2 linked regions of the Arabidopsis thaliana genome follow. The protein of the gene in region 2 interacts with the protein of the main gene of each other region in a biochemical or structural test. Each region holds a gene or a part of one and is shown on either strand. Other genes may lie near its edges.

Evidence for each region. The genes of interacting proteins can lie anywhere in the genome.
Region 1: the proteins of PRIN2 (region 2) and CRB form a complex in vitro, tested with the Arabidopsis thaliana proteins (one study listed by BioGRID).

What each region holds. Positions count from the first base shown.
Region 1 is NC_003070.9:3,011,748-3,019,662, reverse strand, and holds CRB (chloroplast RNA binding protein), read right to left. Parts: upstream 4,427-7,915; 5' UTR 4,191-4,426; coding exon of another isoform or gene 4,089-4,190; 5' UTR 3,858-4,088; coding exon 3,753-3,857; intron 3,629-3,752; coding exon 3,494-3,628; intron 3,416-3,493; coding exon 3,329-3,415; intron 3,206-3,328; coding exon 3,115-3,205; intron 3,004-3,114; coding exon 2,949-3,003; intron 2,848-2,948; coding exon 2,787-2,847; intron 2,619-2,786; coding exon 2,397-2,618; intron 2,256-2,396; coding exon 2,139-2,255; intron 1,987-2,138; coding exon 1,897-1,986; intron 1,805-1,896; coding exon 1,628-1,804; 3' UTR 1,325-1,627; downstream 1-1,324. Other genes in the region: AT1G09330 (golgi apparatus membrane protein-like protein ECHIDNA protein), read left to right, coding at 4,760-4,777, 5,083-5,145, 5,235-5,438, 5,560-5,619, 6,291-6,417, 6,572-6,660; AT1G09320 (agenet domain-containing protein), read left to right, coding at 7,435-7,915. UniProt on the Arabidopsis thaliana protein: Binds and cleaves RNA, particularly in stem-loops. Associates with pre-ribosomal particles in chloroplasts, and participates in chloroplast ribosomal RNA metabolism, probably during the final steps of 23S rRNA maturation.
Region 2 is NC_003070.9:3,466,094-3,472,905, reverse strand, and holds PRIN2 (Serine/Threonine-kinase), read right to left. Parts: upstream 3,395-6,812; 5' UTR 3,069-3,394; exon of another isoform or gene 2,939-3,068; 5' UTR 2,898-2,938; coding exon 2,643-2,897; intron 2,567-2,642; coding exon 2,471-2,566; intron 2,456-2,470; exon of another isoform or gene 1,988-2,455; intron 1,804-1,987; coding exon 1,615-1,803; 3' UTR 1,418-1,614; downstream 1-1,417. Other genes in the region: AT1G10530 (D-ribose-binding periplasmic protein), read left to right, coding at 380-671, 759-859, 994-1,101; Pol{lambda} (DNA polymerase lambda (POLL)), read right to left, coding at 3,658-3,756, 3,855-3,939, 4,040-4,107, 4,258-4,338, 4,529-4,619, 4,708-4,796, 4,880-4,933, 5,026-5,205 and 5 more. UniProt on the Arabidopsis thaliana protein: Involved in redox-mediated retrograde signaling to synchronize the expression of photosynthetic genes from both the nuclear and plastidic genomes, especially in excess light conditions.

The DNA of each region.
Region 1 (7,915 bases), 450 kb from region 2:
CCACTTTAGATACTACCCCATGTGTTTAGCGAGAGAGGGCCCTACCAGCGCTAACGAAATCTCGTGATTGGTTGAAGGATCTCCGTTGAATTCAATACAAGGCTGTGATAATGCCACGTGGCCTAAATGGAGCCCACGAAGAAGAAGCTGAGGGAACATTGATTGGTTGTTACTATACCCAAAGCTAATTTGCTGCTCGTTAATTGTTAAGTAATCTATTTTGTCCGACCCATGGCCGACCTACTATTTATGTAGTGGTTGTTTTCTATAAATTTGATATTTTCTTCTTTTGTCCTAACGTCATAATTTTAATATTTCTAAACTTTTTTTTTCTTTTTCTTTTTGTTAACTGGCCAAAAGCCAAAATGTTATAGTATATATCCATTATTAGTTTTTTGTTTTGGTAAAAATATGCATTATTAGTTTACGTTGATATGTTTCAAGATCTTTTACTTGTAAGCCAAAATGCTCAATAGACTACCAAATTTCTTTTTATCCTGTCTGTTGAATTGTTTAGTTAGTTTTTTATAGAGTATTTGACTAGTTGGATATATGTATGTAGTATTGTTGGGTATTCTGATGTTGATATGAATGTAACAATCTAAGAGTAGCACTATAACATTTTGACGTACCGACATACGTGAAAAGAAAAAGACGTACCGACATATGTTGAGAAAGAGAAAGAATAAGATGATATTTATAAACTCACATGGAGCTACGACTTTAAGTAATCCTGACCAAACAAAAAATAGGAAGAAGACTAAATCTTTTTTCGTAGTATATTCTTTGGAATCTAAATTTCACAAGAATTTTGTAAGATTCTTCTATCCACAAGATTAAGACTTGCAGTGAGAACTAAATGATCCAACAAGAGTCGAGAGAAAAAAAACATAAAACAAAATTCCGGAGAATGACTCATTTACATTTAGATAACCAATAGAGTAATAGAATTTACATTTCTTTTCTTTTATTTTCAATTAATCACTAATACAAGTTTCAGACGTTTAAAAAATCAACTAATCATTTTTTTCACTAAAAATAGGCCAAAAGATAAGTAAATTACAACCAATGAAATATGTCTCTATAAACTATTAATATTTGATGAAAAAAAAAAAAAAAAACTAATAATATTCACAAGTTGGACTTTTCAATTACGAGTTGGGCTTCTAAATTTAAATATTGGAGCCCAAATGAGTTTTTATTTGACCGGTATGTAGCGGGCATAACCAAGCACGGGTCAAATCTGTATTTAGTCGTGCGAATTCGATTTTTTGGTTCGGTTCGATCGGTTAATGGGCTATATGATACAAAGGGGCCCGCATTTAAAACTAAAGTTTAATTAGCTCGGTAGTCGGTATGGTTGTAATTTTGGTTCGGTTCAGATTTAGAAAGAGGATATCGAATTGATACCAAAATTCCTAAGTTCCTAAGTCAAGAGCCAGACCGTCTCTTTCTCGTGTACTTACTTTCTCGGTTTCTTCATCGTCCCTAGCTTGACTTCTTTAGAGAAAAGTCGAACAAAATCCGGACCATAACATACGTGAGATGACAATAAAGTTCAGAACTTTAAGAGAACCGGGTGATCAGAATCATACAAGCCAAGAATGAGCAACTCTTAGGATTTCGATTATTGAAGAACAAGTTTCTTGCTCAGAATCATGTCGTCAGTGGTGAAATCCGCTTCTTTCCGGAATGTTCCGCGACCGAAATCAAGGTTGTATGAGTCAGTGAGACCCTCCACTAAGTCGAACTCCGGTTTCCATCCGAGGACATGCTTTGCTTTCTCCACCGATGCAAAGAAATGCTGCAAGAGAATATACATATATCAAAATCTCAACTTCTAAATTGGAATCGTTCATGTTGCAGCCTCGATCATTAGAACGTTGTGGTTTTTACCTGATCACGGAAAGGGAATGCCTTCTTCTTCCCAAAGTCGAACTCTTTCGGGTTGTAATGAACAATCTCTGGCTCCGGAAACCCACCGGCCTGAGAGAGAGTTGAAAACATGAATAAGTTTACTCAAGCAATGATCCAAAAAGCTCAGAGTATGATATCTATTACAAACGGACCACACCAGGATGTACTTGAAACGATTTGGATTGATGAGACAACAATAAAGCCAATAGAAAAGAATGTACCTTTGCGCAAGCTTTTGCTAACCCATCAAAGGTAACATATTTCTCCCCCGAGATGTTGAATATCTCTCTGCTGGCTTTCTCGTTACCAAGCACGTTGAGAAAGGCTGTTGCCAAGTCCTGAAATTACAGAATGATTTGATGTTATTGATCAATACTCTTCAAGATTGATCAGAGCTGAGTTTCAGTCAGTGGGTCCCTATAACAATGAGTTTTCTGAACATGAAAGGAAGCTCAAGAATTAGAGAAAGTGTGACTGACCTTAACGTGACCGAGTTGTGAGATCTGTATCCCAGAGTTTGGAACCGGGATTGGGCGACCTGCCTTTAGACGGTGGAAAAACCATTCTTCGACGGGGTTGTAATTCAATGGACCGTAGATGTAGACAGGACGTATAGAAGTCCAGTTTACACCTTTTGATTGCAGTAAGCTCTCAGTCTCCAGCTTCCCCTTGTGCCTGCTCTTCGGATCAACTGCATCCTCCTGCATCAGTTATGTCCCAAATAAAAAGTTATTACAAATGGCCTTAGATAATAAACTTCTGGGTGACATCATATGATCAAATTACATAATCATACTATTCTATGGCTAATTCAAGAAAAGTACAAGCTCATATCTTCCAGGAATAAGAATAAGATATCTTTTACATACCTCACAATGTGGCAAGATATCAGATTTCAGATAAACACCAGCTGAAGAACAGTAGATGTACCTATAACATTAACGGAAGATTTAAATTTTGAAGGGCTATGTTTTGAAAGCTATAAACCAAATGAACAAGCTAGGCCTTGATAGATGTTATGTATTACTTACTGCTCTAGTTTGGGTAGTGCTTCTAGTATGGGCTCAACTTCTTCGGCCTCCCTCCCTGAGAAAAAAAGAGAGCATAAATTATACGAAATCTTAAAATCTTTGTTGTCAAAGGCAAAAGACTAGATATTCTTGAATTTACAGTAAGAACAAAGTGATTAGCTGTTACCGTTGATATCATAAACAACATCGAAGCCTTCTGCTGAAAGACTTGACTTCACAAAGTCATAGTCCTTTCTGTCTCCTTTCAAGTGAAGAATCTAGAAAAGGCCGAGAAAAATCATTTATTTTATTGGAATCCTAATCATCCAAGTTCCTATCATCTGAAATGTATATTATATTTGAGTGTGCATACTAGTTTTTTACAAGGATTCATGTAATACCTTAGAAGAGAAATCAGCAAAGTCTTGGTCAGATTCACCGGGCAATTGTTTGGCAATAGGAGATTTACCCCTTGTGAACAATGTAACCTGCAAAAGCAACCATTGGTCACTCAGAAACGGAAACTAAATTTTTAGCTGAAAAGAGAGTTTGATCGGTAGTGGAACCTGATGTCCCTCTTTGACAAGGATCCTGGACAAGAACAGACCAATGAATCGAGTACCACCCATTATCAGAATCTTCTTTTCGCTCGACGCTGAAACATAGAGTGCTCCTTTTGGCTGATGAACCTTCCTCTTGTACTGCAATTTTAACAACAAAGCCAACTCTATAAGAAAAATCTTATCCCCAAAATACAAACTGTAGTTTCAATTCTAAGACTAGTGATAGAATCTGAAGGCAGAGCGTCACAGAAACAAATCATACTTGACACAAATGAGGGGGGTATTCAGACAACTCAAACCAGAGCCAAACCACAAACCAGAAACTCTCACAATTATGACGAAGAAGCTCATAAAACTCTTTACTCATAATACAAAATCAGAGCTGAAACAAGAACCACACTAAGACTTTAGACACACATTCATTAATATAGACACAATGATCCATAGCTCAAGAAGTCGAACAAACAAGCTTAAACCCATTTTAAAAGGAATAGTTTTGAAATGTGCTGAACGGATTTTGGCTCATCAGACACACAAAAGCAGAACCCATCTGATAAAATTGATAATGATAGTCGTCAGAACGAAGGATGAAAAAGACCTGGACTTGTAAATGGAGCTTAGCGCCATTGAAGTCAGACAGAGAAGAAGTAAGGAGAGAGAAAGAAGGCTGATGCTGTTGCAACATCATCATCTTCGCCATGGTTGATTGGTTAAGTCTCTGAGCAACAACTGAAGAAAAGCTCTTATTTGAAATTGAAGTGTGTATGGTGGTTCGTGGGACCTCGTCATCTTGTTCCTTCCGATCATTAAAAGTCTTAAATTTTGAAGGGATAAGACAATTATCTCAGCCTCTCGCCATTTCATGGTCACATATTTACAGCCATTGTCGTCCTCTTCTTTCTTAACTCTTCTTTTGCCTTGTTGTGGATAGTGGATAATTTTGATCGAAACACAAGTTTTTGTGGTGAAATCGTAATTACCATTTTTTTTGAATAATTGGGCCTAACTTCTTTAAATATTATTGGGCCAGAGAAGAGTTATCGGGCTCGTTGAGAATTAAAAAACACATTTGAAAGAAATTATCAAAAATAGAAGAAATCACGTAGCAGACACGCGCAAGAGTTTTGAAGATCTGATACAGAAATTTTTTCTCGGGAAAATTCAGAGGGAAGATCGATACTTTCCACAACGGAGAAGGTGTTTCGTTTCTGCTGATCAGCAGATTACTTCTTCTTTTTCTCGGATTGATCCTTTTGGATTCTTCGAAAGATGGACCCTAATAATCAGGTGAATTTTCAGCTGCTTCCTCTCATTTTGTTCTGACTTAATTTCTGAGTTCGATTGCATATCAGATTCTTGATTAACCTGTATCTAGTTGTTCGATCTAGATGTTATTGTGTCAGATCTGTGTTTCGACGTTTTGGTCTCCGATAATCCGTAGAAATTATGCATTTGAGCTAAATAAACATTGCTAGGTTAGAGGATGTGTTGGCGGATAATAATCTTTATGTACTCTTTTGGGTAGCATCGTAATGGTTATTACAATGTAAAATTGCTACAGCTAATCTTACCAAAACTTTATGCTTTCTTAGATACAGGCACCAGTTGAAAATTATGCAAACCCAAGGACATGTCTTTTCCATGTTCTCTTCAAGGTATGATTTAGAGTATAAATCAGTTTAGTCAAAGGAAATGTTAGACATTGGACAAATGTTAAACCAGTTTGTATTTGTTCTTGGACCAGGGTGCTGCGTTGGCGTTTTACATTCTCTCTGCTCTCTTCTTCAACAGCTTTGTCATCATCTTTGTAGTCACTGTTCTTCTTGCTGCTCTTGACTTCTGGGTGGTTAAGAATGTCAGTGGGCGTATACTGGTTGGTCTCAGGTGGTGGAACGAGATCAATGACTTGGGAGAAAGTGTCTGGAAATTCGAGTCTCTTGATCAGGAGGTTAGCTTTTCTTCACTTATTCACAAGGATATGGGTTCAGCCTGTCGAGAAATGTGGGGTTGTGTTTCCCTTTCCGTTTTTTTTTTGTATACTCATGTGTTTTCATCATTTTTCTATACAGTCTTTGGCTCGGATGAACAAGAAAGACTCATGGCTTTTCTGGTGGACACTTTACCTTGCAGTAAGTATTTCATATCTAACACTTCAGTTGCAGCATAAGCTAATTACTTAAAACCCATTCACAATCATTGTGGAACTTTAGTGGATGACTAGGAATAAGAATAGGCAAGGATAAACATGTCCCTTATAGTGGAATAAGAATAGGCAAGAATAAACATGTCCCTTATATTGAAGCATATTGTGCAAAGGTGGTAGATAAGAATTGAGAGCAGTCTTTTAGAATCCCATGTAGACCCATATATAGATCGCTAGACACCTGAATATCTTCCCCCAAGAAGCTACCAGTTAAAGAAGTTTGCGACAAATGGTTTTTCCCTCTGCATGAGTGGGATATAGCATTTGACATTGGAGTCAAATCACATGCGAAGTCACATTACAATATATGTTGAGTAGGGAAAGATTATCTGCTGGAACCAAGTCGGCCATTTGGAGTATATCCTATGATCTTACACTGACTAAGTATAATATTAGTTAAAACTTGGTAGCTTACAAACTTATATGCTCAGTTACCTTACAAGCGACTATAAAGAGTGAGATGTAGCCATGAGATGGTAGCTATGGATTTGATGTCTATGGTACTGGAGCGTAGTAAACATTAAAAACATGTGGATTTGTTTGCTGTCTTTTTCTGTTGTCTTCACAGCTAAATCTTCTCCTTTTTTCACTCTTCAGGCAGCTGCATGGTTTATCCTTGGGGTATTTTCTCTGATTAGATTTCAAGCTGACTATCTGCTTGTTGTTGGCGTTTGCTTGTCCCTCAATGTGGCTAATATCATCGGCTTCACAAAGTGCAAGAAAGGTAAGATCCTCATTAGTCTTTCACAACTGACCTGATTTTGTGTAAAATCAAACCAGCTGTAGATCAATAGGTTGTTAGCTTTTTGTACAAAGAACATACGCATGTACATATATAGAGGTGACTCTAATCGGCATTCACCAATTCTTGTTGGCAGATGCAAAGAAACAATTTCAGCAGTTTGCTTCGCAGACAATCGCATCACGGTTCCAATCAACAGTACAATCTGCCTTCACCCTTGTCTGAAGAGAAGAAAGACGCTTTTTTTAAGGGCTGTGAGAGCAAAGACGGTGTACAAAGAAGATTGCCAAAACGACATGGTTGGTTTTTTGACTGATTGGTTTCAAATGTTTTGTAAGATTTAAGAGGTCCTATATTCGTCTTTCTATGTATTTTACATTTTCGACTTACCTATTAACATTTTGCATCTCGTATGGTCTTATTATACGTATATTAGCCCTAAAGAAAAATCAGAAATTTTAAAGTCTCTGATCCTTTCCAATTCTGCATATGCATCTTCTGTTCATGTTGCAGGCGATGCATCTTTTTGTTTTGGTGAGCTACTTATTAACACTAAGCTTCGTGGTGATTTACTAATGCAGAGCAGAGATCATGTAGATGATGTTGTTTCATGAGACATGAGAAGAGAGAAATGATTTGAAATTACTACTGAGTAAAGGACATTATTATGAAAATAATTTACGTTCTTTTAAGCCCAAATAAATTTGGTGGCCCAAGTTAAAAAAAGGTGAACTTGGGCTACAACCTCTTTTTAGCCCATGATCACTTTTTCACCAATCTCAGTATCTTACCACAAATCTATTGAGAATATTTTGGGTTTCTGTTTCTGACGTTAAAAGCTAAAAATCTAGAGACTTTTGATATCCCAAAAGCAAAGCTTTTTGAAATTGAGAAATCAAACCCCAAAACCCTAAAAAGCTGATTCCTTTCTTTGATTCTCACTACCAATTCTTCCCGCCAGTTTCCTTTCCCCGATTCATCCTTGACACTTGCAACGCCATGTTGCGGCCTCGCCGATCTCTTGGGGTTTCATCTCCGGCGAAGCAGAGGAAGAAAGCTGCTCCTAAGAATTCCATGGCTACGAGAGCGAATCGAAAGCGTCTCCCTTCTTACCTCAAACCTGGCTCCGCCGTAGAAATCAGCTCCGACGAGATTGGATTCCGCGGCTCGTGGTACATGGGAAAAGTAATCACCATCCCATCTTCCTCAGATAAGGATTCCGTTAAATGCCAAGTCGAGTATACGACGCTCTTCTTCGATAAAGAGGGGACGAAGCCACTGAAGGAAGTTGTCGACATGAGTCAGCTTCGTCCTCCGGCCCCGCCAATGTCTGAGATAGAGAAGAAGAAGAAGATCGTGGTTGGGGAAGAGGTCGACGCGTTTTACAATGACGGTTGGTGGGAAGGGGATGTGACTGAGGTTCTGGATGATGGGAAATTCAGTGTTTTCTTTAGGAGCTCTAAGGAACAGATTCGGTTTA
Region 2 (6,812 bases):
TAATCATTTCTTCCATAGTCTCGGCGTCGCCACCTGTCCAATCTAACCGACTTTTAAATTCTGACCATCTTATTCCTATTCAATTCCCGATGGCACTGATCACAGTCAAATCTACATAAACAATAATAAAAATCATAAATAACTCTACACTAGTGATAACAAATAAAATCATAATATAAAATTGGGATTTTCGCATGTTTATAAGTAAAGCTAAAGTGAGAGTAGCAGAGTGTGTGGACCTACCCTCGCCGGCAAACTTTTTCCTCTCTTCCGCTTTCTCCTTTTTTCACAGAGTTCTACTCTGTTTTCATTTTTTCTTCTTTCTTTCGTTTCTTAGGTAACATCAAAAGATAGTGTGTTTTTTTCTCCCACTGCATATATGGGGAATTGTCAGGCGGTGAATGCGGCAGTGCTGGTTCTACAACATCCCGGCGGGATTATCGACCGGTACTATAGCTCTGTATCCGTCACCGAGGTCATGGCTATGTATCCTGGTCACTACGTCTCTCTCATCATTCCTTTGTCAGAGGAGGAAGAGAAGAATATTCCAGCGACGGAGAAGGGAGATGATAAGAAGCAGAGGAAGGCTGTGAGGTTTACACGTGTCCAGCTTCTCCGGCCAACGGAGAATCTTGTGCTCGGTCACGCTTACCGGCTCATTACTTCACAAGGTTTCGCCTTTTGCTTTCTTTCTTTTTTTTTCTCCTCGTGTGTGTGATTGGAGTTTATGGTTTTAGATGGTTATTGTAATTTTACAGAAGTGATGAAGGTGTTACGGGAAAAGAAGAGCGCCAAGACGAAAAAACATCAGATTGAGAAGACAACCACGGCGAAGAAGTTCTCGGACAAGAAAGTTCCGGTAAAGACATGGGATTTTGCTAAAAGATCTATCTTTACTCTGTTTTTGAATTGTGACGTAAAAAACTGTGACCTCTTTCGTCTAAATGATCGATAGACGAATCAAGTTAATGAGGTTTGTGTTTTATTTGATAGGAGAAGAAACAAGGGAAGCAATTTCGTGTTATAAGGAATTCAACTTCCCTCTTAAAGTCTAAAACATGGAGGCCGTCTCTTCAGAGCATCTCCGAAGCTACTAGCTGAATGTTTTTGGTTTTTGTTCGAAACAGTATCTGGATCTAGAGTGGAGAGCCTGATCCGAAACTCTACTGAATAATTTTTTGGTTCTGTTTTTTTTTTTCCTGGATATTACAGAGGATAAACGGATGGAGTCTAGATGAAGATGTGAAGAGATAAGTACAGAGAAAGCTCAAGAGAGTCAACAAAACAGAACTTCTTCTTCCTTTTTTTTCCCTCTATCGTCGATGTATATATTTTTGCAGATGGGGAAATCGATGGAAGTTTGTAAGAAGTGTGGTTTTTGTTGATGTGTGAGATTGATTCAGAGGACACAAAGCTTCTGAATAAGAACAATAAAAAGCTTTTGCCATCTTTTCTTTTTCTTGTTTCCAGTCGTTTGGACAAGTTTACACCAAACAGTTTTTGATCAAAGATTAAGTGCTTCACGACATAGTAATCAGAGTTTTACAATGACACATCTGCTACCCCACTACTAAACTAAATAACTCACGGATTATACTTAATGCTCCCAGGGGACTAATCAGTGCCGGTCCATTCCTTCCAGTCCTTGTCTACATGATCCTGAGCCCATTTAATAGCTGCTCGGGCGGCTTGTGGACCTCCAGGCAATTCCCTTTCGTTGAGAGTATCTGCCATGTCAATGAAAGGTATCACCAAGAGTGTACCAGGTCCTCCATACTCACTGCGCAAGAACGTCTCGAAGATCTGTCAATAATCACAATGGTGCAGAACAAAAAACTGTTAAAACTCCCTGAGTCTCATGCCAAGACATATAACAGACTTAGAGAATGGGGTTTAAAGTATCACTCATGAAACAAAAACTTACAGTCGACTCATTGTAAACCATACGTAGATTAATATCCTCACCAAGGCATCATTACTAAGACCACAGCATCTCATTTTCAAACAATACAAACTTTTTTTCACTGAGCTTTCAAGATGGGTTCAAATTGAAAACCACTCCTTCACATTCTAAACCGAATCACATGACCCTCTCCATTCTAGGCCTTAAGCTCGACTAAGTCCAAGACCACAAAATCACTCCTCAAGATTTAAGGAAAATGCTTGCATAATCACAATCATACAAACTAGGAAAACTTCGATCAAACATCACCATTGCAATTCCAAAACTAGCATATTGACAGTAAAAGATGATTACATTACCTAAACAATTTCAGATCAGGATTCTCATTCATCACAAGAATAAGAGATTTGAGGCATGTTAAGAAAATATCAGAAACTGAGACTAAAAATTACACCACTTTTGAGTTCTTTGAAATGGAACACAATTACTAAAAACACCACAATTCAAGACATCTCACATAGACACGAACAGATATACATGAGTGAAGGTGAGAAGATTTGAGATTACCTCAGTGCAGACTCCAACAATTTCATCAACAGAGTCTTCAAAAAGATCTCTTTTTGATAGTTTGTTTAACATATGGTCCCTAAATTTCTCAGTCTCCTGGTTATATCACACATCAATTAGGTTTCGATCATCCATCAAAAATGAGTTGAAGAAGAAGAGGAAATGAGCTCACAGCTTCGGCGAATTCAGGTATGGGATCCGGAAACTTGTACTCAGCAGCTCTGCAAACGAACCCTCTCCGGGACAGTGAAGATAGAGAAAAGTCCCTCACTTTGGTTCTACAACGCTGTTTAAAAAACTGGGTCGATTTGATTGCGCAAGATACTGCAGCTGGTGAAGAGATAATTGGAAGAGCGCAACGGAAGGAAAAAGAAGAATTGACTTGAAGAAGCCGAGAAGAGAACAGAGCTTCGTGCATTGAAGCCATTACTAAGCTTTGCTTCACTCTTCAACCTTATCTCTTGTTTTCTGCAATAAAACAGCTGAGGGTTTTAGCGAGGTTTCAATTAAAGGGTGAAAATGTAAGAAATTGAAAGTTTTGAGGGTGAAAAAAAAAAAAAAAAAAAAAAAAAAAAACCGAGGGTAAAATAAAAAGAACCTGTCAGACCGCCGTGCGACCACCCCGGCAAGGAAGACCAAGCCGAGTAACGATCCTCTACAGCACCGGATGCGTCCGAAGACGATCGTAGCCATCAATCACGCTCTGACCGCACGGTCATGGTTCATCAACCAGGGTTTAGGGCCTGTCTCCTTAGAAATCAAGGAAACAGAGGTACGAGCCTATAGAACAGATCCTGTTCAAGTAAGGTCGTGACCATCTATCTTTTGTGTCCTTATATATACAAATTGGTTTTCTGCTGGCTTTTCGATGTGGGACATTTGACACTCTTATTTCCACACTTAATCCAACTATCTTATGACACGTGTAATTAATTATTTAGTAAAGGAATTGTATTTTAAAAAAAAATTGAGATCCCAAGTTTCCTCAGTACCATAGGTTTTCTTAGTTTACCTTAAAGATATGCAATGGTTTCTAATACAAGTACATTGCATTGCATTATATGTAACATCTAAATCAGTTGTCCATGGATATGCAATTACAAAAAGGAACCGATTACTTACATACAGAACCTATTCAAAAAGAAAAAAAAAAAATTTAGTACCAAAGGCTGTGTGCCTGTGATGCCTTAGAGATTCCTCTCGTGTGGCTCGAGCCAAGGAAATCCTAAGAAATCAAAAACTTGTTTCTCCGTTGAGAGTTTCAGACTTGCAGTTCCTCTAGCACCCTGAGAGACAAACATTATCACAGCTTCAACATAATCATTCTTTCACTTTAAAACCCAAGAATTCACATCAAGTTAATTCACTTTTCTCCCTTACTTACCCGGTTACCACTAGAACTGTGAGTAGCTGGGAATAGTCCAGTGTCGTCAAGTCGATATCCTTTCGATTCTGCTAGCAATCTCAGCCTGCAGTTATCATCGCATATATATATACATATGCTGTGTTCTTTATCTACCAACAAATGTGTTTAGTGAGACATGTATACAAATGAAATCATATCCATACCTTCTGTTCAACACGTCGTTCCCTGTCCAGGCTATGAGTCCAAACGAATAGATATCCCTTGGATAGACCTATGAAAAAAGACTATTTATTGAATGATCTTCCGGGAAGAGATCAACCTAGACATAGCTGAATCAATCATGGTATTGTCCTTTTTATCTTTGACTAACCCACTTAGTTCTTTTCTGCATTGTGTGACATTAGGAGTTTTCAGGTGTTACCTTAAAATCGATACGGCGCCGTAGCTCCTGACCAGGATAAGTGCACAAACCAAAATACGTGTCAACGCCTGAATCAGTACCCTGCACAATAAGGGAAATCATTGAGGAGCTGTGATTGAACAAGAATTTTTGTTACACATGCAACTCTGAGAGAACAAAGCTTTATCTAATGCTAAAAGAGATCATTTTATAAGATACTGAAACAACTGAAGTAATGTGTTTTCAATGAAGATGAGATCCTCTCTTAAATAATTTTATCAGATCATCTTACCTCTTCACTGTGGGTGCTGAAGATGAGATCCTCCCTTAAAAAGTTCATTTCTTTTAAACGCTTTACAAACTTTGTCAAAAATCCCTTGTGACTGGTCAGGACAATAAGAAAAAACAGTTTAAGTAAACTTTGTTACAGGAAACTAACGCAGGAAGATGAGGAAAGAAGATTGTAGGTACCTTTGTCCATCAGGATGGGTGACAACGATATCCAGATCTCCACAAGTAGCTTTCCCACGTCTATATGATCCTCCACATACAATATTCACCTGCAGTAAAGATGTTGGTTAGGATTTCACTAAACTTTTATCACCCAAATATGGAGCAGACCGATAAACTGAATAGTTCATACGCCAGGCAAAGTTTCCTCGCCGACTCTCTGTAAAAGTTGTTCCATCTCTTGCACCTACAATACAGAAAGTGAAGAAATATGAGGAGAAAATTACAAGAAGGATAATAAAGACAAACAAAATTCACGTTGAAGTTTAAGAATCGCACCTCCTGACGTGGAATTCGTGTTTTGATATCATCAAAATATTTCAACCCCAACTTCTGTGCATGCGTTAGTGAATCCTCATTCTTCAAGTCTTCTAGTGTGCGATGTCCTTTCTCATATAGCTTGAGTGCAGTTGCAGGACCGACACCCCAAACTTCCCCGAACAAACTGATTGTACGAACCTTCAACCATAGTAATGAAACATTTATAGTGGTAAACAAAACATATCAGACATCTCTAGCTCCAGTTCGGTCATTGACAGTATTTTTCTTTAAAGAGAAAAAGGAACAAGAGAAAAGCAAATGGCCTCTACATGTGAGCTTGTATCTAATTGAAAATGGGAGATAGCAAAATAACTATAACCAAGGACTTCAAAATTACCTTCTCATCTGTTTCAAAATGTTCAAGCTTGGACAACTTCCCTGTTGTCACAATCTCTTGAATCTGCCAAATTCAGGTAGAAGAATAAGACTTTGTTCTCACAGAAATACATCAAAACAAAGGTTATAGGTATGCACTAGGAAAAGGGTAAGTGTTTGCAGTTTTGACACCCACACACAGAACCTAGACAAAACATTTGAAGCATTTCTCAACTTACATGATCTCTCATTGCCTTTCCGATTCCAGGGAGGTGTTTGAGCTGATCAACGCTTTCAATCCTAGTGGGGAACTTTTCAATGACGGGGATAGCTTTGTAATAGCTAAAGGACCGTCTATCTTCACCCAAAGCTTTTGAAAAAAAAGAAAGAGTATTGTTACTTACTTACTATAAGCGAGTAGTCTAGAATACAAACACCAGAGATTGTACCTCTATATATGTTAATTAACTTTCCAAATATCTCAGTGATATTTCTGTTCAAATCGGGTGGTTTGTACACCGATGTGGACTACAAATCAAAAGAAGATCAATGAGAACTTCCAATATCAACAACATTATTTCTTTCTGAAAATGCAGATATAGAAAACAGGTTTTTGTTTAGTTAACTTCTAAGAACCAAAAGGATGCATCAGCAAAGGAGTCACTCAGGCTTACCTCTGATTGTGGACTAGTGGGAGTCTCTGCGATGCCTTCTCCAGGACTGGCGCTAGTAGAGGGAACACTGCAACTTGTTGGTGAATCCGGTGATCCTTGTGTATTGCTATGACTTTCAACGCCTTTGAAGTCACCAGCATCAGGAGAATATCTGGTTCTTTTTTGAGGTGAAGATTGATCCTCGCTACCACTTATTGCAGGCAAAGACTTTTTCGGCTTATCAACTTCTTCTGAGTCAATTTTGAGAACATACAAATCTTCATTAGCCTTCTCTCCTGAAGTTAGGCTATCTTCTAACCACTGGTAAAGCATAAGGCGCTGCAAGGAACAACCAATGTATATAAACTTGTAACACTGGATAATCTCTATTCGTAGATAAAACTTGTACCCAATTAATCTAATCGTAGAGAAAACTCATGAACAACACAACAGATAGTTATAAAAGATTGTTTTTTCTATATGACGAAATCCATTTTTTAGTAAAAACTGAAAAGAACGAAAAACCAACTTACTGCTGTAAAATGCGAGAGACGTTCTTTCCCAAATTTGTGGAGAAGAGCTTCGAGATTCATGGCAAGAACATGAGTGACTTTCTTCGTTACCCGATCTTCTTCGATCACTGCACCCATTTGAACCAGCTTCTGCTTCCAGATCTTCATTCAAATAGAGAGAAAATTACAGACATAGCATGCAACAATTAAAAAGAAGATGTTAAGGAAATTTGTCGAAGATGATGCAAGTAAAATAACACTGAAC